Linked DNA regions of Saccharomyces cerevisiae S288C. Changing the gene in region 1 together with any one later gene gives a genetic interaction. Each region holds a gene or a part of one and is shown in the gene's direction. Other genes may lie near its edges.

The links.
Region 2: mutations in PHO86 (region 1) and PMR1 together harm fitness more than expected from each alone (negative genetic interaction), as found in Saccharomyces cerevisiae (4 studies listed by BioGRID).
Region 3: of PHO86 (region 1) and PHO87, changing one enhances a phenotype caused by changing the other (phenotypic enhancement), as found in Saccharomyces cerevisiae (4 studies listed by BioGRID, with this or other methods).
Region 4: mutations in PHO86 (region 1) and PKR1 together harm fitness more than expected from each alone (negative genetic interaction), as found in Saccharomyces cerevisiae (3 studies listed by BioGRID).

The regions. Positions count from the first base shown.
Region 1 is NC_001142.9:188,807-195,432, forward strand, and holds PHO86 (Pho86p), read left to right. Parts: upstream 1-3,724; coding exon 3,725-4,660; downstream 4,661-6,626. Other genes in the region: DUF5427 domain-containing protein MTC1, read right to left, coding at 1-634; ALB1 (Alb1p), read left to right, coding at 910-1,437; ribulose-phosphate 3-epimerase RPE1, read right to left, coding at 1,568-2,284; YJL118W (uncharacterized protein), read left to right, coding at 2,833-3,492; SUN family protein NCA3, read right to left, coding at 5,054-6,067.
Region 2 is NC_001139.9:185,583-194,576, reverse strand, and holds PMR1 (Ca(2+)/Mn(2+)-transporting P-type ATPase PMR1), read left to right. Parts: upstream 1-4,108; coding exon 4,109-6,961; downstream 6,962-8,994. Other genes in the region: DNA-dependent ATPase RAD54, read left to right, coding at 1-870; YRB30 (Yrb30p), read left to right, coding at 1,277-2,599; CUP2 (Cup2p), read right to left, coding at 2,771-3,448; HUR1 (Hur1p), read right to left, coding at 6,781-7,113; SUA5 (threonylcarbamoyladenylate synthase), read right to left, coding at 7,238-8,518. UniProt on the Saccharomyces cerevisiae protein: This magnesium-dependent enzyme catalyzes the hydrolysis of ATP coupled with the transport of calcium. Has a role in the secretory pathway.
Region 3 is NC_001135.5:190,325-199,035, reverse strand, and holds PHO87 (SPX domain-containing inorganic phosphate transporter), read left to right. Parts: upstream 1-1,850; coding exon 1,851-4,622; downstream 4,623-8,711. Other genes in the region: Ras family guanine nucleotide exchange factor BUD5, read left to right, coding at 1-1,415; RBK1 (putative ribokinase), read right to left, coding at 4,738-5,739; exosome non-catalytic core subunit RRP43, read left to right, coding at 6,018-7,202; fatty acid elongase ELO2, read right to left, coding at 7,401-8,444. UniProt on the Saccharomyces cerevisiae protein: Involved in the uptake of inorganic phosphate.
Region 4 is NC_001145.3:509,552-515,803, forward strand, and holds PKR1 (Pkr1p), read left to right. Parts: upstream 1-4,041; coding exon 4,042-4,410; downstream 4,411-6,252. Other genes in the region: 60S ribosomal protein eL15 RPL15B, read right to left, coding at 183-797; YMR122C (uncharacterized protein), read right to left, coding at 1,150-1,524; NCW1 (Ncw1p), read left to right, coding at 1,764-2,018; EPO1 (Epo1p), read left to right, coding at 4,905-6,252. UniProt on the Saccharomyces cerevisiae protein: Functions together with the other V-type ATPase assembly factors in the endoplasmic reticulum to efficiently assemble the V-type ATPase membrane sector V(0).

The DNA.
Region 1 (6,626 bases):
TCTCACCAACAACGATTTTCTGTAAGTTTCTGGCTATTTCAGTAATCGTGCTCGTGTTTATCTTTGAAGTCAAATCAAGCTGTTCTTGGGCAAGTCGGTTTTTGATCTGGGATGCTTGTTCTGCAGTTTTATTCCAAATACTCGATACCTTTGCGGATCCAGAGGAGGACCACCAGTTTGAAATAGAAGCAATTGGGTCATGCAATGGGGTCTCCTCCTCCTCCTCTTCTTCTTCTTCTTCTTCCTCCTCTTCTTCTTCTTTCTCCTGCTGCTGTGGTTCCTTTTCCTTTCCGTGAGCGTCCTGCTCGGAATTTTTGTTTTCTTTTGATTCTTCTACTTTTTCGTCTTGTGCTTTATTATTAACTGATTCACTGGGAGCCTTCTTTTCAACCCCTTTCTTGTCAGTTAAGCTTAAGTTACTCTTCTCCAACTCTTCTAAGAATTCAAAGATATCATCGTCACCTTTCTTTCCATCATTCCCGGTCTTGCCCGCCACAGAATTAGAACCTCCCTTAACGCCTTCTTGGCTACCCTTTACGTCAGTATTAACCATTTTCCCGCCATTCTTTGCTTCTGGCAAAGAATCTAAAAATTCAAATACGTCTTCAGCCTCAGAGTTCTTATTTTCAGACATTTTGCCCTGGTAGTATGTATGTTTTTAATCGATTGAGTCTAGTTAACCTGTCCCTTGTTCTATTCTTCACCGTCTCGTCCAACTTCCATCAAAGAACCAGAAACCAGAAAATCGCCGGTTTCTTCCACGCGTCAATCCGTTTGGAATGATCTCATCGCAAAATTTTTTTTCGCTAAAATTTTCATAGAGAGTATCAATATTAATATATGGTTATAACTTATGGCGGCATTAGTCGATGAGGTGCTTGCCGAAGAGACTAGCACAGCCAACCCATAATGCCTTCTAAAAACTCCATCAACAGACCTAAGCTGACTTCAAATTTGCACCACAAGGTGCACTCTTTAAATAAGAAAAGAGCTCAAAGAGAAAGAGCTGGTCTCTTGAAGCCAGCTAGATCCAGCGTAAATTCGAAATCTGGGGAAATAAAATCAGTAGCGTTGGACCTATACTTCCAAAACAAGAAGAACGAAAGTCAGAATTCCACTGCTGTGACATTACAAAATGCTTCATCTTCTCCGGCCTCCATCACCACGAGGACACTTTCCAAAAAGAGAGCTAAGAAAATCGAGAGAAACTTAAAATATGCTACACAGAGAAAATTATTGGTTGACGCAAGCGCTAAGCTAGAAGACGAAATGGATATTGATCTAGATGGCGGTAAGAAAGTGAAAGAGAATGAAAAGAAGAGTTCTTTGACTTTGGTTAAGGAAGCCTTATGGAGTGTCATTGACGATACTGCATCCCAGGGATTGATCATCGAAAACGGACAAGGCACCACCCTGGGCGGCCCATTTTTCCCATGAGTTAGGCACTTACGTATCTTGTATAGTAGGAATGGCTCGGTTTATGTATATTAGGAGATCAAAACGAGAAAAAAATACCATATCGTATAGTATAGAGAGTATAAATATAAGAAATGCCGCATATGTACAACTAATCTAGCAAATCTCTAGAACGCAATTCCTTCGAGACTTCTTCTTTCATGAAGGAGATAACATCGTGCGGGTCAGCTGCAGTGAAAACACTGGTACCAGCGACAATAACGTTGGCACCGGCTTTGGCGGCTTTCGGGATGGTCTCCTTGCCCAAACCACCATCGACTTGGATATTCAAATGGGGGAACTTGGCTCTCAAAGTTTCCACTTTTGGCATCATGTCTTCCATGAATTTTTGGCCTCCAAACCCAGGTTCCACAGTCATAACAAGAGCCATATCCAAATGAGGAGCTAGTTCAAATAAAACGTCAACAGAAGTACCAGGTTTGATGGCGCATGCAGCTTTGATGCCCTTAGACTTAATCAACTTAACTAAATGCAAAGGGTCTTGTGTGGCCTCGTAGTGGAACGTAAATTGGTCAGCACCACATTTAGCAAAATCGTCGACCCATTTTTCAGGATTTTCAACCATCATGTGACAATCGAAGAACGCAGTGGGCTTCTTTTCTGTGTTGCTAGCATCGCCAGGGCGTGGCACAGAACGACGTAGGGAGGTAACAATTGGTTGGCCCAGAGTAATGTTTGGAACAAAATGGCCGTCCATGACATCGATATGTAACCAATCTGCGCCGGCGTTGATGACCTTATGACATTCGCAACCCAAGTTGGCGAAGTCAGAAGCAAGGATACTGGGAGCTATAATTGGTTTGACCATTTTTTCTTGTGTGTTTACCTCGCTCTTGGAATTAGCAAATGGCCTTCTTGCATGAAATTGTATCGAGTTTGCTTTATTTTTCTTTTTACGGGCGGATTCTTTCTATTCTGGCTTTCCTATAACAGAGATCATGAAAGAAGTTCCAGCTTACGGATCAAGAAAGTACCTATACATATACAAAAATCTGATTACTTTCCCAGCTCGACTTGGATAGCTGTTCTTGTTTTCTCTTGGCGACACATTTTTTGTTTCTGAAGCCACGTCCTGCTTTATAAGAGGACATTTAAAGTTGCAGGACTTGAATGCAATTACCGGAAGAAGCAACCAACCGGCATGGTTCAGCATACAATACACATTTGATTAGAAAAGCAGAGAATAAATAGACATGATACCTCTCTTTTTATCCTCTGCAGCGTATTATTGTTTATTCCACGCAGGCATCGGTCGTTGGCTGTTGTTATGTCTCAGATAAGCGCGTTTGTTATGCGAAAAAAAAAAACTTTACAGAGGCTTTGTTTATATATAGAAAGACCACGAAAAAAACAGTGATGGCTTCATGCTTTTCAGTTTCATTATTGGCACGAGTAGCAGTCGTTGAGCCCATCAGAGTGCAACTTTGGTTAAATGTCGTAAATTGTATGATTGAATCATCCATGCACCAATGTCCTCCACGGGATCGCCACTTTTTTTCTTCATCACGCCCCATTTTGTTGATCCGACGTTCTGTATCAACTGTATACAGATTCGTTGCTTCTCGCACCACACAGGTTTTACGTGCGGCCAAGACCGTTGTCAAGTGGTTCATTATTGTCGACCCACTGATAAATTCTATTCTAATCAATTATCTCATTGATAGGCTCTGCACTCTTGGGCATGCTGTATTGCGAGTGAAAAAGCGCAAGACCGAGGAGAGACAACCCTGTTCTCCCATTATACAACACACACACGTTAAGAGACGCAAACGGCCTCGTCTGAGGATCGTAGCCATCAAGAGGAAGCGGAGGCGTCGAAGACCACATCGCATCGAGCGTCCACTCTCAAATATGTACCCAATAATGGAAATCCAGATGGTGGCTGTTCCACTTGCTCTTCCCAGTCCAACTGCACTGGTGCATTATCAGCAGCAGCAACAGCAGCTCCCGCAACATCATCCCTGGTACGACCTCTCGCTTTCTGAAGAAGCCCTCTCGACCTGCTGTTGTAGTTGACCTATAACTGAAAATTCACACCCGCATTACCCAGCGCGCCCGCACGTGCTCTTTATGGAAACTATAATGAATAACGACCAAAGAACATCTTTTTTTCTCTCTCACACAAATAAAGCTTTTCATGTTTATAGATATATAGCACATACTTTTACTAAGTTTTCTAGATTGATTACGACTCTTCCAGTTGCACATTTTTTCATAGCGAAAGTACAAGAGTAGGAAGAGTGGCACAATGGCGGTTCAACAAAGAAAGAAGAAAGAGGGTAGAAAGTCCGATAAAAATGCCCCATCGGTCCCACAAGTAGATGCATCATTAGACAAACCACTTGATATTGATGCTCCTCCTACTATTTACAGTGTTAATTTGAAACCAGAATATGGTACAGCTGCATTGAATTTGTCCGCGGATTTCATCAGACAAGAACAGGCATTGGCTAATAAGTATTTGTTCTTCCATCCCGTCATCCTTGTTGTTCTAACCATTGGGCTGCTTATTTACTTGACGCCAAGAATTGTCTTTCCGATAAGGAATACAGGATCCGTTGCTGGATGGTTCTACCAGCTGGCTCGTATTAATAAGAAGGTCGTCCTCAGCGGTTTAGTGTTCACCGCAATTGGTGCATCTTTCTTGTTCACCCTCCTCTCACGTGTATCTGACTCGTATTTCAAGTCGAAGATCAACCAACTTGTTGGTTCTAAAGGTGAGAAAGTTTTCGGCATCAATTTGAATGATTTGGTGGCAAGACATGAAACAAAGGATCCAGTGGTGAACAATACGCATATCATCGTTTATAGAGAAACGCCCATTGCATTGATTTCGTTAGCCCCTAACATGACATTAAGTACTGATGAAAATTTAGTCATGAGTGTTACTACTGTGGGTTGTCGTCGTGTATATGTAAAAAGTGGCATTATCGAAGATTTGATTGATTGGGCTATGCTACACTCCAAAAATATTAGAAGCAGCGGCAAATACGGGGAGACCATGAAACTCTTGATTGATGTCTACTCATTCGATAGCACGCTTAAGGAAATTTTGAAGAAAAAAGGGTTCACTTATATTCAAAGCATTAGAGTCTCTGAAAATCGACTACTAGGCGGTTTGTTCGGTGTGAAGAAGGAATTATGGGGTTTGCAATTCCATTTTAAAGCCGAACACAAGGACTAGGATACTGTTATTTTTATAGCCAAAAAATGAAAAAAAACAGCATGGCATCTTGTTAGTTCTGTTGCAACTCGCAGGAAGTAACAAAATAAACACTATAATATTTCCATATATTTATATATATGTATACAAACACCTTGTTAACAAAAAAAAAATAAACGAACTAAAGAAAACCGTAATGCAGAGTACACCTTGAAGAGAGAGAAAAGAAAATCTTTGAATCCATAGCATAATAGCGATCAACGAAACTTTTTAAGAAGTAAAATGAACTGAAAGGAGAAAAATATAACGGAATCCCAATGTATAATAATAAATAGAGAGCGGAAGAAAAAGAATAATAAGGGGAATTGAGGGTATCAAAATACAAGACATTCTTTTACCGAAAAGAAGAATGACTTAATAGAAAACAAATTCAGCAGATCCAGATAAAACAGAAACTGTGCAACCATCGGAACCATCTCCGGTGAAAGAGCCATCTTCATACGCACAGCTGCCCTGAACGTTAGCGCCATCGGATGCAACTATTTTAACGTTAAAGTTGGCAGCTTGGTTACTGTTGGGGTTTGGAATCAACGACAAGTATGTTTCTCCATTAGTGGAACCAGCACCTAACACTAGTGGAGCCCAGTTGCCGACATCCGAACCAGAAGTACCCCAAATGCACCCATCTTCTGCAGATACACCGGCGTTGTTAATATAGTACTGAGCAGAAGTCTTTTTACCCTGCCATTGATAATAAGTGTCTTCATCAACGACTGAAATTGGTTGTGAATCTCCACCATCAACCACTGTGGGAATCACCATGTTTTCTGATCCTGGGTAATCCGTCCTACATAGAGCAATGGAGTCAGACTTTTTGTTAATGGCCTTAGCAGATGTTTCATCCGTAGAACATAAATCGCTGGTATCAGTGTTGGTACGGTACAAGTAACCATTTTTACAGTAAAGACCACCAACAGATTTACCATCGCTTGGTTGGTCAGAAGGCCATTGAGTCTTTGACATTCCAGGTTCACATGCATAAGAACAGTAGTAGCCATCCTTACATTCGGACGAAGTGTTGGCATCCATGTCCATGACAGAGGCCCATCCACCAAATCCTAGCCAGTCCAAGGAAACTATACCGTTTACAGAAGGGAAGTCCGAACATTTGACAGTACCATCTTGGAATCCGCCATCACGCTTCTGTTCAGAGGTATCCTTCTCAGATGAGGACAATGTAGTGGTAGTAGCAGCAGATTCTACAGTACTAGTAGCGGCATTGGAATCTATGTATTGAGTGACAGTGACAACCGCTGGTTTTTCATCTTTGTGATGATCTTCATGGTGACTGTCCGCTGGAGCAGGTGCAGGGGCAGAAAATGCGACAGAAGAAAGGGAAGACAATATTAAAGCTGCGGAAATTTTCATTATGTGTTAGAGAGAGACGAGTTAAGTATGTGCGACTATACTAGTATTATAATATTAAAGGAAAGTAAGGTACCGTCTATGAGGAGACTGTTAGTTGGATATCAGTAATGAGACGAAAAAGCTCGAAATGAATGGATATATTCTTTTTGCTACTGGCAACTGTTGAATATTTAATGTTAAAACAAACTAACTGAGGTATATTCGTATCTGTATGTACACATATACTATATACAGGAAAAGATAAGCAAGAGAGAGGATATCAACTACGAGAGCGATCGATTATATATCAAAAGCTGTCCGCTTTGCCACCCATAATCGGCGCTTAGTTTCGGAGTTCAATCATAATTCTACCACCTTACACTCAACTTACTCTTTAACTCCTATAGTATAATATCGCCACTGACCCCATATTAAAAAAATTTTTTTGCTCGATCTTCTATCCTCTTTAGGTTAATTGTCGCTGTTATTGTCTAGATTTTTTCTCGGAGATGGCGCATCTATTTGCCGTCAAAAGATCCTCTCATACCATATTAAGTAAATTGCCTCCATTTCTTTTTCC
Region 2 (8,994 bases), on another chromosome or scaffold:
ATTTTAAAGAAGCTATGTAATCACCCTAATCTCTTGAATTTTGAAGATGAATTTGACGATGAAGATGATTTGGAACTACCTGACGATTATAATATGCCGGGTTCAAAAGCCAGGGACGTACAAACAAAATATTCAGCTAAATTTTCCATTTTGGAAAGATTTCTCCATAAGATAAAGACCGAATCCGATGATAAGATTGTTTTGATCTCCAACTATACCCAAACCTTGGACCTCATTGAAAAAATGTGTAGATATAAGCACTACAGTGCTGTACGGTTGGATGGTACAATGTCAATTAACAAAAGACAAAAATTGGTGGATAGGTTCAACGATCCTGAAGGCCAAGAGTTCATCTTCCTCTTAAGTTCTAAAGCAGGTGGGTGTGGTATCAATTTGATTGGTGCAAATCGATTAATTTTGATGGATCCGGATTGGAATCCTGCTGCTGATCAACAAGCTTTGGCACGTGTTTGGAGAGACGGTCAAAAAAAGGATTGTTTCATTTACAGATTCATATCGACTGGTACCATAGAGGAAAAAATCTTTCAAAGACAATCTATGAAAATGAGTTTGAGTTCATGCGTGGTCGATGCGAAAGAAGACGTTGAAAGGTTGTTTAGTTCTGACAATTTAAGACAGTTGTTTCAAAAAAATGAGAATACGATATGTGAAACACACGAAACATACCATTGTAAACGTTGTAATGCTCAGGGTAAACAATTAAAGAGAGCCCCTGCAATGTTATATGGTGATGCGACAACTTGGAATCATTTGAACCATGACGCATTGGAAAAAACAAATGATCATCTACTAAAAAACGAGCATCATTACAATGATATCAGTTTTGCATTTCAATATATTTCACATTGATCTCTTACATACATGTACTTATAAAACAAAAACAAAAAGTAGAATTCGATCGTCGGGGGGTCATTACATATTTATTTTAAATGATGGGCATGGTTATATATATTTAGACGTAATAAACAATTGAAAATTGGGGCCAAATTGGTAAATATCTCTATGTATTTCAATCAAAAAAGTATAATCGTATAACTTAAGGGTAAAAAAAGTTGAGCGATGTCATATTATACTTGTGCTAGCTTTTAAATTTTTCATTATCTTCAGTTTTATCGTGGTAAAGTGCCAGCCGAAACTGCCAAAAAAGATTATGGCAAGAAAATCTCACGCTGTCAGGGAAATAAAAATCTGATACAGTTTCACACTCTCAGAAGGATTAACTTTAACTATTACCTAACACCAATATCTGAAGAGAATGGATGAAATTCTTGCCAAAGCAGGTTCACAAGCCGTTACATTTGCTATAAAATCCGGAATATCGATAGCATCCACATATGCGCTAAAGACAATAACGAACTTTGTCGTCCAGATTCCTAAGGATGATGCTAGAAGAATAGATCAACTGAAATTTAAACTGGAAAGCCGCATGGCTATTGTATCCAGTGCAATTGACCTAATAAAGCTGGTAGCGGCGAGGGGAAACACGAATTTGCAAATCACTCTGAGGTTAACCAAGGATTTAAAAGAAGAGATTGATAGGTTTGATGAGAAGATCAACGAAATGACGCAGAAAGTTGAGGGTTCCAGGAGCGCAAAAACACAGAATGAAGCTATTAAAGCGGTAGAAAACTATATAAAGGACTTGCTATTGAGGATCGAAGAAATCACTCCATTCATTAATCTTTCTTTAACCACTTCTGGTGCCAACTTGAACAGCGCACTCCCATATCAACTTTCTCCTGGTTTATTATTAAAAGCCTCCGATTTCGTTAGCGAGAACAATAGAAAGTATGAAAAGGCAATGAAGAGTAATGAGAAAGGAACAGGTGACAAGGAGATTCTAAAAGTTCAAGTGGGGCCTACATTTGAGGTTACACTATTCTCTATTTTCTATAACCTAACTTCAGAAAACAATGGGCAATCAGGAATTGTTTGGAAAGAGGATATGAAACGTGCAAAAGCAAGGATATATAGATTGAACTCTACAGGCAGAAAGTATGATTATTTTATGAAAATAGAACAAGACTTCAATGACGGTAGATATCATGAGGATGATGACAAAGAAGACACACCACAGGAACTTGCCATAGATCTGAACCATATTAAGAAGCTGTTTTTCAGTGTTTCCGGTAAGCTTCTCCGATTAGAAGAACAGGATTCTCCAGTGTTGGTATTGAAGATTGACCGGAGCGATGACAAAGAAAATGAGAGCAGTGAAGGAGACAAGGGATTACTCGATGACATTACTTGGTATGCGGTAAGCGGATATGAAGCGATAGAGGAAGATGAAGAGGAAGATGAAGAGGAGGACGAAGAGGAAGGAAAAGACGGAGAAGAACGAAAGGAAGAAGAAGAAGAAGAAAATAAATTGGAGGACAAGGATTCGTCGATCACACTACTGGAGTACATCATTCGGCTGACGTCCTTACAAAGTAACGATCAGAAAAGTATATTGGAAGTGAGTGATGAAAGGTTATCTATATATTTGAACGATGAAAATACGAACTCCAGAAAGGATAGAATAAGCAATTCGACAATTGAAGAGACAGAAAAAAAGTTAAAAAACCTAAAACTTTAGGATGGTTACGTATCCTGTGCAGCCTTGGACAAATTTTATAATTGTATATATCTATGTATATGTATACGAATGGAAAAATTTATCCGAATCTCGGCCCGACTGCCAGCTTGCCGGGAGAACAAACAACCGCCAATATATGTATATGTATATTTATATAGATGTCCAGATGCATTATTGTGAATGTGAGTTATGCGAAGATACTTGTTTGTATAGCTCGTTCAACTCATTGATGGAGAATGGAATGTCAATATCGTTTAGTGCTGTGTTCGTAGTTGTATATGCGCTTCCTGTTTCATTGATACTAACAGGTTCCATAGATATACTAGGGCTTTGCTCAAGCGGATCGAGGGAAGCCAAATCAAGATTGTCAATGCTGTCGGCCTTAATTTCTCCGTTTTGCAGAGGTGGCTTCAAACTCGGCAATGTGGTTGTCATGTCTACATCCGACGAGCGACCATTTAGGCCCAAAAGAACGTCCAGATCTGCAATACCGAGACCATTGACATGCGCTGCTTCATCATTTGCCCTTCTGTGGCATGACCCTCCCTTTGATTTCCGGCTGCTTTTCCTCTTGGTATGACATTTACAAGGTTCACCCTCATCACAACGACATCGTGTTTCATCTTCCTTGCTGCCAACAGCTGGCCGTCGTGCAGAGGCACACATGCACCCACCGGATGGGTTGAAGTTCTTGGTTCTTCTCAGCTCTTTACAATGGCCACATGTGGTCGATGGTCTTCCCTTGCGTCTGATCATCTGTAGCGGACCATCAGTGTGAGTACACTGCGCCGCCCTGTGACCCCTGATACACGTTTCACAGGCATATTTGACCCCGTTAATTACGACCATTCTGTGAATACACTGATTATCAGTCCTCTTTTATCAAGCCGCCGTCTAATAAATTACATCGCCATGGCTACTGCTATTTCGTCCACAGCTTAATACTTACCGAACCAGGCCTTGCGGCTCTTACCCTGCGTGCCCGCGCACCCTGGCGACTTCGCCTCGTTTTGGCGATTTTCTTAGCAAATATTCTTTCACGATCGTAGTGGTGGAAGGTGGGTGAAAAGAGTTGCGTTCCTAGCAAGGATCGGTTGGTATCAATTGCACGTTCAGCTCATCCCTAGATAACCACTTAACAGCAAAGCCGATCGTTAAACTTTTGTATTCTACATTCTAGTTGCATTTTTTTTTTTTTTCATTTTGTTACATCAAGACAAGATTCTCTATTTAAAGAAGTACTTTTTTTGTTAACAGTGTGGACCCTACCTATCGTTATATCGAGATCTTGTTCCCTAGGCCATCGTACACTATAGCCCTTCCTTCAAGCACTTAATAGAAAAACCTCTTTTTCTACACCATCATAATAGTGTTTGCTCGCCCCGTTCTTTCCATTCCCATTTATAACAATACTAGTAACTATAATAATATCCTTACGACTGGGCAAGACAAGACGAAGCAAGGCCAGCACAGACGTAAGCTTAAGTGTAAGTAAAAGATAAGATAATTATGAGTGACAATCCATTTAATGCGAGTCTTCTTGACGAGGACTCAAACCGTGAGAGAGAAATACTAGATGCCACAGCAGAGGCCCTTTCGAAACCAAGCCCTTCTTTAGAGTATTGTACTTTATCCGTGGACGAAGCTCTAGAAAAACTGGACACTGACAAAAACGGTGGTTTACGATCATCTAACGAGGCCAACAATAGGAGATCACTTTATGGCCCCAATGAAATAACCGTAGAAGATGATGAAAGTCTTTTCAAGAAGTTCTTGTCAAATTTCATTGAGGATCGAATGATTCTACTTTTAATAGGATCCGCAGTGGTCTCTCTTTTTATGGGTAACATTGATGATGCTGTTAGTATCACACTGGCCATTTTCATAGTTGTCACTGTCGGTTTTGTCCAAGAATATAGGTCTGAAAAATCTCTAGAAGCGTTGAATAAATTGGTTCCTGCTGAATGTCACTTAATGAGATGTGGTCAAGAGAGTCATGTACTGGCTTCCACCTTGGTTCCTGGTGATTTAGTGCACTTCAGAATAGGTGACAGAATCCCCGCAGACATTAGAATTATTGAAGCAATCGATTTATCCATCGATGAAAGTAATTTAACTGGTGAAAATGAACCGGTACATAAAACCTCACAAACGATCGAAAAATCTTCCTTTAACGATCAGCCTAATTCAATTGTACCGATTTCTGAGAGATCTTGTATAGCTTATATGGGTACATTAGTCAAGGAAGGTCATGGTAAGGGTATCGTCGTAGGAACAGGTACAAACACATCCTTTGGTGCCGTTTTTGAAATGATGAATAATATTGAAAAACCGAAGACTCCATTGCAGTTAACAATGGACAAATTGGGAAAGGACTTGTCACTGGTTAGCTTCATAGTTATTGGTATGATTTGTTTAGTTGGTATCATACAAGGTAGATCTTGGTTAGAAATGTTCCAAATATCGGTATCCTTAGCGGTTGCTGCTATTCCAGAAGGGTTACCAATTATTGTCACTGTTACTTTGGCATTGGGTGTTCTGAGAATGGCCAAGCGTAAAGCCATCGTGAGAAGGTTACCAAGTGTCGAAACTTTAGGCTCTGTCAACGTTATCTGCTCCGACAAAACAGGTACACTAACCTCAAACCACATGACCGTATCTAAACTTTGGTGCTTGGACAGTATGTCCAATAAGCTAAACGTCCTCTCATTAGACAAAAATAAGAAGACTAAAAATTCTAATGGAAATTTGAAAAACTATTTGACTGAAGACGTTAGGGAAACTCTAACTATCGGTAATCTCTGTAATAATGCATCTTTCTCTCAAGAACATGCCATATTTCTGGGAAATCCTACTGATGTAGCTCTTTTAGAGCAATTGGCAAACTTTGAAATGCCTGATATCAGAAACACCGTTCAAAAAGTTCAGGAACTTCCATTTAACTCGAAAAGAAAATTAATGGCAACCAAGATTCTCAACCCTGTCGACAATAAGTGTACAGTTTATGTTAAAGGTGCATTTGAAAGAATTCTTGAGTACTCCACAAGTTATTTGAAATCAAAGGGTAAAAAAACTGAAAAGTTGACTGAAGCCCAAAAAGCTACGATAAATGAGTGCGCAAATTCTATGGCATCTGAAGGTTTGCGTGTCTTTGGATTTGCTAAACTAACTTTGTCTGATTCATCAACTCCTCTAACCGAAGACCTAATCAAAGATTTAACCTTTACTGGTTTAATCGGTATGAATGACCCACCAAGACCGAACGTTAAATTTGCCATCGAACAATTACTACAAGGTGGTGTCCATATTATTATGATCACTGGTGATTCTGAGAATACCGCAGTAAACATTGCAAAACAAATTGGTATTCCAGTTATTGATCCAAAGCTTTCCGTTTTATCCGGTGATAAATTAGATGAAATGTCAGATGATCAACTGGCCAATGTCATCGACCACGTTAATATTTTTGCTCGTGCTACGCCTGAGCATAAGTTAAACATTGTTCGTGCATTAAGAAAGAGGGGTGATGTGGTAGCAATGACTGGTGATGGTGTTAACGACGCTCCTGCGTTGAAACTTTCAGATATTGGTGTTTCTATGGGTAGAATTGGTACAGATGTAGCCAAAGAAGCCTCAGATATGGTCTTAACTGATGATGACTTCAGTACTATTTTAACTGCCATTGAAGAGGGTAAAGGTATCTTTAATAATATTCAGAATTTCCTGACTTTTCAATTGTCTACTTCTGTTGCCGCACTATCATTAGTTGCACTATCTACAGCGTTTAAACTACCCAATCCACTGAACGCAATGCAAATTCTTTGGATAAATATTTTAATGGATGGGCCACCAGCTCAATCCTTAGGTGTGGAACCTGTTGATCATGAAGTTATGAAAAAACCTCCAAGAAAACGTACCGATAAAATTTTGACCCATGATGTAATGAAACGTTTACTAACCACCGCGGCCTGTATCATCGTTGGGACAGTTTACATTTTTGTTAAAGAGATGGCCGAAGATGGTAAAGTAACTGCTAGAGATACTACTATGACATTTACTTGTTTTGTTTTTTTTGATATGTTTAATGCTTTGGCCTGCAGACATAACACAAAGTCAATCTTCGAAATCGGCTTTTTCACGAACAAAATGTTCAACTACGCCGTTGGACTGTCTCTGTTAGGTCAAATGTGCGCTATATATATACCATTTTTCCAAAGTATCTTTAAAACTGAGAAACTTGGTATCTCTGATATACTATTGTTATTGCTCATCAGCAGTAGCGTTTTCATCGTTGATGAATTGAGAAAATTGTGGACGAGGAAAAAGAATGAAGAAGACTCAACGTATTTCTCAAATGTTTGATATGTCACATTTTGTGCTTTTATCGTTTTTCCTTCCTTCCCTTTATCTTTCATGAGGACGCCCAACCCTATTGAGGTAAATGTACTAATTAATGGGAACATATGTAGATGTATATATGTACATATATTTACAACGGATACTAAGATAAACATGTATGGGCGACTTTTCGTATATACAAAGCAATATAAAATTTTATTCTTTCCTTCTTTTTCCGGACTAGATATAAAATCTCCGTAATCAGTGGTTATGATTTTCAAAAGTTAATCACAGTTTTATTTAAAACTGTATACAATTATTTGCAGCCGCCTTTCGCAATCTGTTCATAACAGCTAATCCTTCTCCTTCCTCATTTATACCTTCGACAAATATTAGGTCTACTTTATCATTTTCATCCACTTTTCTTAAAGCTGCAAACAAGTTAGTCTGTATTTCTTCACCAGATTGGCCAAGTCTTTCGATGATGAAAGTTTTCGAAGAAAAATCGGGTTCATTAAAGATCTTAGATTGTAAGTCGGAATCACGTAATTTTAGGGAAGTTAAAATCGCAATTTTTTTTATATTACTGTTGGCTTTTAATTCCGTTTCGATTAACCTCTTTAATCTTTCCATCCTATCAACGCCCTTAAGAATGCCATCGCCTTCGCAATGAGGAACTAGTAAAACAACTTTAGCTGAAGGGGAATAGTGTCTATACTTCATACCAGGCGTTCTTACCTTTTCGCCCTTTTCAACTGTTTTCTTATTCTCAACTTTACAAAGAGACCAAGCTTCACCACCCAATTTAACAATTTCTTCATATGTAAAACCGCCAGGTCGCAGTAGCGTAGGAGGATTACATAACCCATCAACAACAGTACTTTCTACACCAACCTTGCACGCTCCGCCATCAAGAATTATGGGAATTTTATCCTTTAGATCATGATAAACATGAGACGCTAAAGTAGGAGATGGCCTAGTAGACGCATTCGCTGAAGGAGCAGCTATTGGTGTATCGCTCAGGGCAATCAGTGCTCTAGCCACTGGATTAGCGGGTATGCGTACCGCAAACGTAGGCTGATCTGCGGTCGTTAACTTTGATAATGCACTATGCTCTGAAGATGGAACTGGCAAAAGAATTGTTAATGGGCCAGGCCAAAGGCTTGAAATTAATGGGCGATAGATTGAGGGTATGTTATCAAACAAGGATGTACCTGATAGATGCGGTTGATTAAAGACCTTTCTGTTAAGTTGATCAATGGATGAAACATGTGTAATCAAAGGATTGTCACTAGGCCTATTTTTGGCCCTGTATATACTAAGCACTGAATTATCATTTAAAGCAGAACCTCCAAGACCATAAACAGTTTCGGTTGGAAAAGCCACAGTCTCATCTGTATCTCTTATTATCCTCGCCGCTTCAACTAGCGCTGCTTCCGTTTCAGGATCTGTTATCGTTGGTAAGGAACCATCTATATGCGCATCAGGGGAGAAAATGATTGATAGCGGGTTAACTTTTAAGATCTTGGTATCAAACAGTGCTTTCGATGTCATTGCCAAAAAATGTCGTCCAAGGTACATACAATTCTAAAAATGGAATAATAAACAGGACTACCATTAAAAATGGAAACAGGTTTAGTGGTAAGTTAACAGCGCAGAAGAAAAAAAAAATTTGAGGAGAAGAATAAAGCTCTCGCTTCAAATATTATCAGCTTCAATAGGTATGTGCGATGAGGTTACTATCTTCTGGGTGAAAAAATAGTAAGGCTAGCGTAGATAATGATTTGAAATTTCTCAAAAAAATATTTTTGATACATATAATAATTTTGAAGCCTGAATTTTTCAACGAAATAGCCTTGTTGGCGCAATCGGTAGCGCGTATGACTCTTAATCATAAGGTTAGGGGTTCGAGCCCCCTACAGGGCTATCTTTTTTAGGCTCAAATCAAAAAAATGTCTAATATATTAAATTCTACTTCCTTTTTATATCTCAAAGAAGAAGGCATTTAACCCCATTCATATGGTTTACACTTGTGTTGAGATTTGTTGCTTGCGCTT
Region 3 (8,711 bases), on another chromosome or scaffold:
TCGTAAACTCAATCCAACATGCAACTCAGGAATTGTATCAAAATATCGCCCATTACCTTCTTCATGGCAACGTAAATATACAGAGGGTCACAGCACTAATACAGCTCGTAATGGGACAGGACGATTTACTTTTTAGTATGGATGATGTTCTACAAGAGGTCTTCAGAATACAGCTCTATTTGAATAAGATGCTGCCGCACAACTCTCACAAATGGCAAAAGCCATCCCCCTTTGACTCCGCAAACTTACTACTTAACTTCAGAGACTGGACAACTGACAATGCTCTCCTCCAAGAGTTGCTACTATCCTATCCCACAATTAATAAAAACAAACACAAAAATCACTCCGTCCCTCGTCTAATACAAATCTGGGTAGAGTCTTATTGGCAAGATAGTGAGACAACATTAAAAGATATCCTCAATTTTTGGTACAGTCACTTGGCTGAATATTATGAATACCAAGAACTGTTTGCAGACATAGTTCAGCTGTTTATAAACAAAAAAAGAACGAGGCAATTGAAGATTCATTACATTGGTCTAACTGATAAGGAAATCGAAGAAAATAAACCGCCCCTGGACTACGAAAACTTATTTCTCCAATACGAGATAGACAAAACGAACGCAAATGATGAATTGTGCGGTGCAACTGACCTCAGTGATTTACTTTTCCAATGGAAACAGGGTGAACTTCTAGAAGTCGAAGCCTTCGCTCTAAACGTATCTCCATGGTCACTTGCAAAGACATTGACTCTCTTAGAATCTTCTCTTTACTTGGATATTGAAACAATAGAATTCACAAGACATTTCAAACACAACGATACAACAATTGACTCCGTGTTTACGCTTTCCAACCAGTTATCGTCCTACGTTCTTGAGACAACTTTGCAGCAAACGCACACCATTTCCTACTGGTTACAAGTTGCACTGTCTTGTCTATACTTACGAAACTTAAACTCACTTGCTTCAATCATTACATCATTGCAAAATCATTCAATAGAAAGACTATCTCTCCCGATAGATGTTAAATCAGACCACCTTTTTCAGCGCCTAAAAGTCGTCGTACATCCAAACAACAACTACAACGTTTATAGAAGAACAATTAAACATATTTTCCACAGTCAGCTTCCTTGTGTACCTTTTACATCACTGCTTATCAGGGACATTACCTTCATAAGAGACGGAAACGATACATTCACTAAAGATGGTAATAACGTGAATATGCAAAAGTTCAACCAAATCACAAAGATAGTCGCTTTTGCGCAATATTTACAACAAAAGCAATATGAAGATATACACTGTTCAAATACTACTGCAAGAAGCTTATTAGGGGCTATGATAAAGGTGCACACTTTATATAACGACAACAAAGACAGGGCGTATCAAGTCAGTATAGCTAAGGTTCCAAGGCTTACCTAAAAACAGAACTGTTCAAAGAAAGATGACTTCCTTTTGCTTCTTGTACGCTCACAAATAATTAATATTCATGTTTAGTACTGAAAATTAAGAATACTTGCATAACTACAGTAGATAATATTTTTTGATAAGAAACCAGACGTAAATTAGATGTAATCTTTTACAGATATTACAGTCAACTTAATCAATTACCTAAAAAGGTTTAAGATTGTGCATAGGAAACGTTTCAATTACCGTATCTTTAGGCTACCGCCTCTTTCTTATTTTCCCTTACCCTTTTTTCAATCTAATTAATTGATGATTTCGCACGTGGGAAAAGTAATCCGATGCATTGAAAAATTATTACCAGAAAACAGTGTTTCACACCAAAAAAGCAGTCAGCTCTCAGATAAAGGTGCAGCAAAACTACGGTAAAGGCGGCTATTATTGTGCCTCGAAATGAGATTCTCACACTTTCTCAAATACAACGCTGTCCCTGAATGGCAGAATCATTACCTAGATTATAACGAATTGAAAAATTTGATCTACACATTACAGACAGATGAATTGAAACAAGAAACGCCAACCGGTGACTTAAACGATGACGCTGACTCTCAGACTCCAGGTCCAATCGCTGATATAGAAAGCAACATAGCTGCAGGAGAACCATCTTCATCGAAAAGAAGATTTACACATAAACTCAAGCGTAAGCTCTTTGGTTCTAAAACACCTTCAGGAAGCAAAAGGGGAGACTCCGACGAAAAGGCCATAGATGGGAACAATATTAACGAGGAAACAATTGAGTTAGACGAGTTATCTCCTCAAGGGAAAACCACCTCTTTCAATAAGAATTTTATACGTAAGAAATTCTTTGAATCACGCAGCTCATCTGTGAGTAGCGAGGGAAAGACGCTCTTCAGTTCTTATGATACATTCGTAACTAACCTGAGCGACGAGAAATTGAAAGTAGATGATTTCTACAAAAGAATGGAAGCTAAGTTCTATGAAAGATTTGACCACTTGATTAATGATTTGGAGAAGGAAGGCATTGTAACAAGATTGAATGAAACTTTCAATCCTGAAATTCAAGCATTGCCTCCTTTAAGAGAAATTATTTCTGGTACATCAGAGACACATTCATCTAATAACCCATTTGAAATACACTCTTCAAACATCGACAGTGAATTGAGAAATAGGTTTGATTACAGCGAAGAAGAAATGGATGAAGATGATGACGTTGACGTGTTTGCTGACACTACCGACAATACCGCCCTCTTGAATTATTCGCAATTTAACATTAAATCTCAGAAAAAGTCATTATTAAAACAGACAATAATAAATCTTTACATAGACCTTTGCCAGTTGAAATCTTTTATCGAATTGAACAGAATGGGTTTCAGTAAAATTACTAAGAAGTCTGATAAAGTATTGCACATGAACACTAGGCAAGAATTAATAGAAAGTGAAGAATTTTTCAAAGACACCTACATCTTCCAGCATGAAACTTTAAGCAGTTTAAACAGTAAAATTGCACAACTTATTGAATTTTATGCTGTTCTCATGGGTCAGCCTGGGAACGTAGATTCATGCAAGCAAGAGTTAAAGTCGTACCTGCACGACCACATTGTTTGGGAAAGAAGCAACACATGGAAAGACATGTTGGGCCTCTCTTCGCAAAATAACGATATAATAACTATTGAAGATGAAGCTGAGAAACTTATGCAAGAAAAGCTTCAAATTGAATATTTCAAGTATCCATTGCCTAAGCCAATTAATTTGAAGTTTACTAAAATTGAAAATTTGGCAGTTCCTAAGCTATTTTTTGGGAAAAGAGCAATGAAAATAGGCTTCATTATCATTGTCACAGGTGTTTTGTTGGGTGTTAAAACTTTCAATGACCCTGTCGAACACCGGTGTATGGCATTGGTAGAATGCTGTGCTTTCTTATGGGCTAGTGAAGCCATTCCATTACACATCACAGGTTTATTGGTTCCCCTTCTAACTGTCCTTTTTAGGGTACTAAAAGACGATGACGGTAAGGTAATGGGAGCAGCAGCTGCCTCTACAGAAATCTTAGGTACAATGTGGTCGTCAACAATTATGATTTTATTAGCAGGTTTCACATTGGGTGAAGCCTTGTCGCAATATAACGTTGCGAAAGTTTTGGCATCGTGGTTATTGGCCCTTGCAGGTACCAAGCCAAGAAATGTCCTTTTAATGGCAATGAGTGTTGTATTCTTTCTTTCGATGTGGATTTCCAACGTTGCCTCCCCAGTATTGACATATTCTCTATTAACACCCTTACTAGATCCGCTGGACTACACTTCACCGTTTGCTAAGGCATTAGTCATGGGTGTTGCACTTTCGGCAGATATTGGTGGTATGGCTTCACCTATTTCTTCGCCACAGAATATCATCTCCATGCAGTACTTAAAACCTTATGGAATCGGCTGGGGGCAATTTTTTGCTGTCGCTCTGCCTACAGGTATTCTATCGATGCTGTGCTCCTGGGCCTTGATGATACTCACCTTTAAAATAGGCAAAACTAAACTGGAAAAATTTAAACCAATAAGGACCAGATTTACTATAAAGCAATATTTTATCATCATTGTAACTATTGCTACTATTCTTCTATGGTGTGTAGAGTCACAAATAGAAAGTGCTTTTGGATCGTCCGGTGAAATTGCAGTAATACCGATAGTCCTGTTTTTTGGTACAGGTCTACTATCAACAAAGGATTTCAACACATTCCCTTGGTCAATTGTTGTTCTTGCTATGGGTGGTATAGCCCTTGGTAAGGCAGTTTCATCTTCAGGCTTGTTGGTAACTATTGCAAGAGCATTACAAAAGAAAATTCAGAACGATGGTGTTTTTGCTATCTTATGTATTTTCGGTATTTTAATGTTAGTTGTGGGCACTTTTGTCTCACATACTGTGTCAGCAATCATCATTATTCCCTTGGTGCAAGAAGTTGGTGACAAATTATCCGATCCAAAGGCAGCTCCAATTCTTGTGTTCGGTTGCGCCTTGTTAGCCTCATGCGGTATGGGGTTGGCTTCATCTGGATTTCCAAACGTTACTGCTATTTCTATGACCGATAAAAAGGGTAATAGATGGCTAACTGTAGGCGCTTTTATCTCCAGAGGTGTTCCTGCTTCGTTGTTAGCGTTTGTCTGCGTAATTACTCTCGGTTATGGTATTAGTTCTTCCGTCTTAAAAGGTAGCACTTAAACTGCCCTCATGTAATTACATTTCTTATTACTGCATTCTTTGTACCTTTTTAAACTTTATATATATGACGAAAACTAAAATTTAACAAACTAAAAGTAAAAAATTGCAGTAGATTTTATGCATCTTTCTGAACATCTTTATACAGTGGCATGCTTTCAGCAGCACCTTTTCTTTGAATGGTCAATGAACTAGCTAATGTAGAGAACTTTATAGCCGTAGACAAGGTCTCTCCTTGATACAATTGAGTAACCAAACCGCCCAGGAAAGTATCTCCAGCTCCTGTAGTATCAACAACCGAAACATTTTGAATAGCCGGAAGGAATTGTACTTCAGGGCTTTCGTGCGAACAGAAAAGCACCCCTCTCGAACCCAAAGTCATAACCACAATTCCTCTTTTCTTTCGATTCATGAGTTTTTCATACAAAAGCTCACAAATTTTACGATATTCTCCTAAAAAGTCGTCCTTTATCTTCTCCCTTATTTCTTCAACAAGTTCATTATCAAATACACTTTCCACGATTTGAAGACCCTCAATTTCATTAACGACCAAAAGGTCTACCAACTCCCAATCTTTCTTAGGCATGGCCTTGAAAGGTGAGGGGTTATATACGATCTGAAAATTCGGCCTGTTCGCATGTATCCATTTAATAATGGAAAGAGGATCAGGAATTTCGTGTTGAAAAACAACATACTCTTCTTCCTCCTTGCCCTCTGGAAAAATTTCACACAACTGTTTCGGGTCATAAATAGTCTTGCTGTTAGCACCTTCTACAATCAATATCCTATTTTGGCCACCAGCTTTCTCTTCAATTAGTATGGTAGCGGTACCCGTATTAATGCCTTCGTAAGTACCGACGTGAGTGATATCGACTCCGCAATCGGATAAAGTGTCCTTCAATTGTTTACCAAATGTATCATTTCCAACATTACCAATCATTCGAACACTATATCTGCTGCTGGGGTTTTTTAATTTACCAATGGCCGCAGCTTGGTTCAATCCCTTACCACCAGCATGTGTTTCGAAGTGGTTAGCCCTGAAAGTTTCTCCAGCGTTAGGTAATCTATCCGTAAATGTGTCCAAATCATAGTTTAGAGAACCTATTACTGTAATACCCATCTTTGAAATATGCTGTTGGAACTTTGGGATGAAAGACAACAAACATCTTATTGGCTATTTTTATCCTATTTGCTTCATGATTGTTCTGGCCACCTTCGGATATAAACCCTTTTATTCCCGTTTGATCTGGAGAGATTTTCAAATCACAGTCGACGAAAGTATAAGATTTTTCTTTCTTTTTTTATGACAGAGTATATAACAATAATGGACAAATTAGACGATGAGTATTGTTACACAAATAAGTTTGACAGTAGTTTCACAGGCATCTAATATTGGAAATGGCTGAAAGTACCACGTTAGAAACTATTGAGATACACCCAATTACTTTTCCACCTGAAGTTCTTGCGAGAATATCTCCAGAATTGTCTTTACAAAGACACTTATCCCTAGGAATCAGGCCATGTCTAAGAAAATATGAAGAATTTAGAGATGTTGCTATAGAAAATAATACTTTATCGCGTTATGCGGATGCTGGTAATATAGACACTAAAAACAACATTTTAGGCTCAAATGTTTTGAAAAGTGGGAAAACCATAGTCATAACTTCTATTACGGGTGGAATAATAGAAGAAACTAGCGCCGCGATTAAAGATTTGGATGATTTCGGTGAGGAAGAATTGTTCGAAGTGACCAAAGAGGAGGACATAATTGCAAATTATGCTTCTGTCTATCCGGTGGTGGAAGTTGAAAGAGGTAGAGTGGGCGCTTGCACCGATGAAGAAATGACTATATCACAAAAACTACACGATTCCATATTGCACTCTAGGATATTGCCTAAAAAAGCCTTGAAGGTAAAAGCTGGTGTTCGTAGTGCGAATGAAGACGGTACGTTTTCCGTCTTGTATCCCGATGAATTAGAAGATGATACGCTGAATGAAACAAACCTGAAAATGAAAAGAAAATGGTCATACGTTTTGTATGCGAAAATTGTAGTCTTGAGTCGCACTGGTCCAGTCTTCGATTTGTGTTGGAATTCTTTGATGTACGCTTTACAGAGCGTAAAGTTACCTAGAGCATTTATAGATGAGCGTGCGTCCGATTTAAGAATGACTATAAGAACAAGAGGAAGAAGTGCCACCATAAGAGAAACGTATGAAATTATTTGCGACCAAACTAAGTCAGTACCGTTAATGATAAACGCAAAGAATATTGCATTTGCTTCAAATTATGGGATAGTGGAGTTAGACCCCGAATGCCAATTACAAAACTCTGATAACTCTGAAGAAGAGGAAGTGGACATTGATATGGATAAATTGAACACTGTGCTAATAGCAGACCTAGATACTGAAGCGGAAGAAACAAGTATACACAGTACGATCTCCATCCTCGCTGCTCCTTCAGGTAACTATAAGCAATTAACATTAGTGGGAGGAGGCGCTAAAATAACGCCAGAAATGATAAAAAGATCATTGTTGTTATCTAGGGTTAGAGCGGACGATTTGTCAACAAGATTTAACATATAAAAGACTCGGATAAAATTATCTGATGACTGTCGAAAGGAAACGGAAAACTTTTTTCAACGATAACATGTGTATGTAATATATAACAAAACCATCCGGTCTTTTACAATATAATAATAGTGATAATAGTAACAATAGATCCACTAAGAAAAAACGAATATACGAAAGTTGAATACTTAAATTCTTTCAAAGATTTTACACTTACCTTTTTCTTCTGTGTTGAGGTTTTGGTGATGGAGATGGAGTAGGAACGTTTTTCAAGTCAACGTTAACATACTCATTAACCTTTGCGGCAACACCGCCGTGGGCACGCTTTACCACTCTACTGGTTTTGGTGCCTTTACGTTTATAAACGTTAATGTAAAATGAAATAAATAGTACCAAATATGAAGAAATAATGGCACAACCTGCAAAGGTGGCAGTTGTTGAACCCACACAGTCACCACAATGTGGCAAAATTGGGAAATACAAGTGAACTGCTTTTTGGTAGACAGCAAAATATATGAAACCGATATCCAAAACAAATTGGATAATTTGAAATCTGGTAACCCATTCCTTCCACCAGACCCTGATGCCTCTGGCAGCCAAGAAATAGTACCAATACATAACCACGTGAACACCAAGGTTCAATGAAATAGGGACCCAAGAAATAGATGTGGTGCCCATCAATTGGGTGTAACATAATAAGGCAGTAGCGCCATGGTGATAAGTATGCAAAAATGTCAATTTTTTATGTTTTAGCACCAAGAAAAAGGTGTCTATAAATTCAATAAACTTGACAATGTAATTCATGTAATATAATGTAACGAGCGGTTGAGTCCAAGCACCAATATTACAGATAGCGAAGTATAACCCGTGCTGAACAATAATTGGCACTAATTGTTCAACCATAAGCAATAAAAGCGTCAATGAAAGTGAAGTTAAAACCAAATTATGCAATTGGAAAAGGCCATTTAATTTAAATGGTTTCGACTTACTTAACAAAAACCTGCCACCAAAAATAATAACGTAATAGGCAGTGATGGCGTATAGCACAGGGGGCAAAGTGCTTAATGGTAATTCACCTGCAATGAATTGGAATTCGCTTGGAACAAATCTACCGTTAGTTACACGAGTGACGACATCATCGAAATGTTCCCACAACGAAATATTAAAAAATGGTCGCTCCAAAGTTGGTAAATAGTCATGAAGTTGGGGATAACGCTCGAACAACGGAGCAGCATATTGAGTAACGAGTGAATTCATGGCTTCTAGACGAAGATAATTAGTTCAACCTTTTCACTTTGTACAAAATTGCTTGTGGATAATAGTGAAATGAAAAATATTTTCCAATTTTTCATTGACTTTTTCGCGATGTTTATTTCTCTGTGGGTTTTGCGATTTTCAGCAATGGCCGCACGCCAGGACATGTGAATACGTACAAAAATAAAATGTGACATATTTACACGACACTTAAATAAAGTCGTTTAAAATCGGAAAAAACTGTATAATGCAGAAAAAATACGAAATTAC
Region 4 (6,252 bases), on another chromosome or scaffold:
TTAATATTGTTCGTTCCGCTAAGGAAAAAAGAGTCAAAAACTGCAAATTCAAATTGCGTATGCTGCCAAAGAGCGAAGAATAATAAAAAAAAAATAAGTCGAAGAAAAGGAACGATGAAGTAATCAGGTTGAAAAAATGTTCATAGTGCATTATTATTGATCTATATACGGTTCTAACTATTTCATTTTCTATACCTCCATAACGACAGAGTATTTTGTCTTTTCCAGGTCTTTCTTCTGCCGGCCTTGGTGTTGTTGAATTTGTGTCCCTTGTTGATACCCCTGGATTTCTTACCGGTGGCAGTCAAGCCTCTAGCTTCACGATGCTTATGGACGGGATTGCAGATCCAGTTGTACCGAGCATCTCTTCTGATAGCCTTGTGTTGAGGATCAACCAATATAACTTCGAAGTACTTGTAAGTAGAGTCTTGGTTGACCCAGTAGGAGTTCAAGACTCTCAAGTTAGCAGCACGACGGCCAACTCTTTCTTCAGCGGTAGCTCTCAAGGATCTTTGGTATTTCAATTCATTGACACCTTGGTTAGTTGGCTTACCGTAAGTAGCACCCTTTGGAACAGGTCTCTTTCTGTTACCGCGTCTAACCCTGACACGGTAGATAACGAAACCTTGCTTGGCTTTGTAGCCTAGTCTCCTAGCCTTGTCTGGTCTAGTTGGTCTAGCGGCTCTGTGAATGACATTTTTTTGTCTGTATTCCCAGACCCTGACTCTTTGCAAGAATCTCAAAACATCAGATTGCTTCTTTCTTTCTAATTCTTCTAAATATTTGTAGGCTCCCATTGCTTGTGTGGTAGGTAATTTGTGACTGTCTTTACGGTAGCTTTCGCCGATTACTATTGCCGCTAACTTCTCAAGAGTGAATGAAATTATCAATGGCTCCGGTTAATTGAAAACGTGGAAAAGTATCGAAAGGAACAAGAAAGATGTTTTCCGGGTAACGACATATGGAGCATCAAGACAGATACATCTCTACTGACTACATGTTTGTATCATCATTTGAAGAGATTGGAGAAGTATTCTAGCAATCGGTGCAAAAAATAAGAGTAAAGAAAAAAGACGTTTGTTTCCTTAAAGGAGCTGGAGGAGCCTGTTTTGGATAGCGGCGTAGTCGCTTTATTAATTTGGTTATACTTTAAACGCAAAGATGGCAGTACGAAACCAGCAATGCAGTGATTATATATTCCCTACTAAGGAAAGTTGCGCATCCAATGGGAAACATTTTCCTGATCTGTACCTTTGGCAACCTGAATATGCGGTTGGCTGGCAAATAAGGTAGCGTGGAGGCGGTGTTTTTGCCACAAACCAGTACGCCCAATCTATCCCTGCGAGCCACCGTAATGATGCAAATTGCAGTAAAGCAGCGCTTAGCCTCCAGCCGAAATTTACTTCCGTCGAATGCACGTTGGCCAGAATGTCTCTCGTCCCCCTTGTGCTGCGCAAATAACAACGCGTTGGTGCGTTCTGGAACGCGAAGATTGCGAAACACGCCTCCGAACTGACGTAGCATAGAGTCTTTCACAGTATTGCCTAATGCGGAAATCACATTGCCATATTGGTGAAAAATACAATGGCTAGTTTGATCTATTTTTGGGTTATGGTGTCTCGAGCGTAAAAAGTGAAAAAAAAGTATATAAACGATCTGAATTTAAGGCAGAATTCTGTTTGCCGCTCTCAGAATGTACTGTTAATTACTGAGGTCTCCATCAAACACAAACCCCAACCTAATCGCAAATAACCTGAATAAAAATGGCCAGCAGTACTTCCACTTCCGCTTCCGCTTCCTCCTCCATCAAAACTAACAGTGCCTTAGTTTCCAACAATGTCGTTGCCGCCTCTTCCGTCTCTGCTACTTCTACTGCTAGTTCCAGTGCCGCTAAGAACACTACTTCCAGTTCAAAGAACGCTGCTCCAGGCATGGTTGCAAACCCTGTTTCCTCGAAGTACGGTATCATCATGGCCGCATTTGCTGCTGTTTCTTTCGTCCTAGGCACCGGTATTTAAGAAGTTTCTAAAAGCCTTTTTTTTTCCTTCTGCTTATTGTACTATCAAAGGGAACGATTGATTAACAGAAAAATTACATAAAAATCATATCATAATGGACTCGCGGTTGACGCCTAGTTAAACCAATGAAGAGGTGGGCGAACTTGTGGGAGTTATATATATTTAGGCCAATTGGGCCATTGCATGTTTCCTATAATATATTTTAATATAAAAATTTATTTATTAATACAGCAACTCATTAGATTAATCGAGTGGTGGTAAGGCTTTTTTTGCTCGCAATGCGAGCACGTGACAGAAAGTGAGAATGAACGTCTGACATTGCTAGTGTCACGTTCAGAAAACGAGAAGACGGGTAAAACAAAAATATTGATGATTGTTGGTTAGCAATATCAAATTCATTGAAGGAGGTCACAACCGCGAGAGAAAGTAAGATGTCATGTTTTTGAATATGAACCTGGAGCTCGCATATAACTCTTTCCAGTGGCACCTTTAGATTTATTTTAACTCTGAAATGTAGGTTTTTTTTTTTTTAGACAAGTCACGATAAGTAGTTGTTGTTAGCGACTTTATTCACAGCATTTTTTTATGTAGCATTTGTAGAAATAGGGGAATTATATCGGAGTACTCAAGAAACTAACGGGCTTCTGAGTAAAGGGGCTTCCCGATGTAATGGCATCCAAGGTACTTATCTAACTGATTTTTGATTGGAAGAAACATTTAGAATGCAACCTCAATTGTGGGCAATTACGACCAATGACAGCCAAATCCAGTAAGGTTTCAAAGGGATAATTTACTGAGAAAACAGATTTACTATTCTGGAGGCAGGAGTGATATATTCTTATTCTTCCTATCCATGGGAATAACGATGCACTTTTTTATGGGTAAGGTGTGCTCCCAGTTTTTCTTACCAAGAAGTGTGCAATTGGTACGGTAATATCGTATTTGTTTGCACTGATGTACCCACGCTTTAGCCATTTAAGTTATTACGAATCTACTCTGTCTATTTTTTTTTTACCAACTCCCTACCCAGAGGGAAAATGCGTATGCAATCTAAAATACTTTATTTCCCATTCCGTGCCTTAGGCAAACACAAATGGATTTTGGCTGCATACCGAGGGGTCTAGGTGGTGATGAGGTCGCTACAACCCAGGATGGTTATCTCGTTTCTTCGAATTTCCGCAGCAAAGAGGACCCTTATTGCAGGGATGGAACCTTTTCTGCACAAAGCAAAATCCTCAGGATGTTTCTCTCCTCTGTCTTTCTTTGCCGAGCTCCATCGTGCTAGCGCATCGGACAGGAAGCAGTGAAATACAAGAAAAGTATACAAGCAGTATTCCTGCTCAAGAACCCAGTTTTCAGTTATAGTTTCCACTCCTTTCAATAGATGGGAAACTATATATCCATTAACTAAAATGGCCAGTCAGACTATCTCTTCTCCTCACTAGTGCCTAATCTCTGGTGTCGCCACTCCTGCTGCTGCTAATTATAAGGGCAAAGTCAGACCATCACTTACATTGAGGTGAATATTAAAACCAGTGAAGGTTCTGTTTTTCTCGGGAGTATTTCCGGCAGTAACACCGTTACTTATACCAAAGAGAATTTTTCTGTTGGTATGATTACTGACCCTGTCTGCTCGAAGCACGGTATCATCATTTACCGTTGTTTCTTTCGTCCTAGATATCGGTGTCTCAGAAACTCCAATTGAAGATGTACAGGTGATTAATTACGTCTTTTTATCAATCTATTTACCTATATATTTCAATTTTGATTTTTATTTGGCGAGTGACATGTGAAAACTTTGCCTATGAACCTGAATAGCGCATTCATATTTTAAGAACATGGTAGGGTATAGCAGATGTTCTTTAATTTTCTTTGACTGCGTTTACCCGGCGTTTTTTGCTTGACTGAAAATCAAATGAAGAAAAATAGAGATGGTCTTTTCTTTTTGTCATATCCAAGAACACGTCCATCTAATTGATTAGTGCCAAAAATCGCAGGGATATAACTTCGAAAATTTCTCAAAATGGCCAATTTTTTTGTTAGACTGTGGGAAAGTGTATTTGAACCAGGGACCTCCCCCCAGCTGATCATCGCCACACACGTATCTTTTGTTGCACTACTACTGACCCTCATCTGGCTCATCTATGCCACAAACGGGAATATCCACTTCTATGCTCTTTTCTGTATATCACTTTTACTATGGATTACCGTTATCTGGTTTATAAACGAATTATCACACGTCAAATTGAAGGATAATGATGAGCTGGATAAAGATGCCAATAAAAAGGACGACAGTGCCATCAAGGAAGACAGCGAAGACAAGCAAGAAAGCGGGAAATCCACTAGTACTGCCAGACGGACTCAAGCACAATCTAGGTCAAGAAAAGCATAGACAGATACATAATTGACTACATAATTATCTCTGTTATTAGTATATCACAGAGCTTCCGGGTAAATGTCCGCAATTGTAAATTTTTTTGTCCGCTTCAGGGTCTCCCCTGATATTTTTTTTTTTTCAAAAATTCCTTTTTTTTAAATCAAATTTTGGGCTCAATTATGGACAAATGAAGCACATGCAAAGAGTTAACGCGTGCGACTGAATAGAACAACTCTTTCAGCATCGCAAACCCTTCAAATTGTGAATAAATAGGCATTTCAAGTAACTGTGTCAGCAGCACATTGCATAGGAATTCTGATTTTTTGTTTTAGTGACTGCCCTCCTAATTTTTTTTTTTTTAGTTTACGGCTATAGCTAAATTTGGAGCTTTCTTTCATTAATTTTCACCGAGCTATTAATAACCCTACAAAAAGAGCAGAGAGGTACAGCCTGATCCGATAAAGCAGTGGGATAAAAAGTACTCAAAGACTATTTATAAAAAGTTCAAAATGGATGCAGGTTTATCGACCATGGCAACAAGAAACGGTCAGTCTTCTGCTAGAGTTAAATTGAGAAATAACCTCTTGAATAATGATATAGGAAATATTGACATTAGGGATGAAACACCTATTTCAAGGAACGGGAATGACAGCAATATTAACATCCAGCCTTCTTCCGTGCCGCAGCAGCAGCAGCAGCAGCAGCAATACTACCGTAATGGCATGAATGAGGCTCCAATACAAGCGCCACTTCAACAACGTCAAATTCCCATGCAGAATTATTCACAACAGCAACGCCAGCAACAACAGTATAATTTTGAGTATTCCAATCCACATATGAATGAGATTCCCCTCATGCAGCATAACTTCACCAAACCATCACTAAGCAATAATCGCGATAATGTTAATGGTAAGAAAGCTTCCTCATTTACCCAGAGCTCATTTTCCAATTTTTTCAAACATAAGCATCAATTTGGGAAGTCAAAGAAAAACACTAAGGGGACAGGAGGTGGTGGAGATGGTGATGATGACGATGAGGTTATCTTGGATGATTCTGCAAACTCCGACCTAACATTCAATGACATTCAGACCTTCGGTCACAAGGGCGGTGACAAATATGGATATGGTGGTGATTCCACTCCTATCATTCCAACATTGGTGACTAAAGACCGCGGCAATATGAGTAATACTGAGTATAGGAAGTACATTACTAATCAAAGGAAAACCGCAATGAATGCCATGGCTAAACAAACTAAAAATGGTACATTAGCCTCGTTGCCTCCGAGAGCAATGTCTTTGCAAAGTTTCCCGAATGGTAATCCTTTAATGCAAGCACCCACTCCTCATCCTAGATTTCAACCGAATAAAATGGTGAGCGCTAATTATTCGAGATCAAATTCGTTGATGAGTGGACCTCCCGGACAATTTCGACAGCCGCAGCAACAAAGAATGCTACCGATGAACAACTACAACAATCACCCAGGTCAATTCCAGAATACCCCACCAGTAATGCCCTCTGGACAACAGCCACCTCAGCAACCACGTACTCTGTCATTAACTAATGGCCCAAGATATTCACCCCAAAATCCTCGGCCATTCGCAGGTCATCAGCAGATATCACAAAGACAACAACAACAACAACAACAACTTCAACTTCATCCAATGTCTGAAGGCTATCGGACAATGTCTCTACAAAGTCAGAACGTTCCCCAAGGGTTTAATCCATGGTCACCAAATGACAACGATCGTAAAGCTGTGTCCATGAAACAGCCAATCAGTCAATCGTCAATTTCCTCAAAGAATAATTCAGCTTATTCAATACCGAACGTACAAAACAACTCCCTGACTACATTCTCTC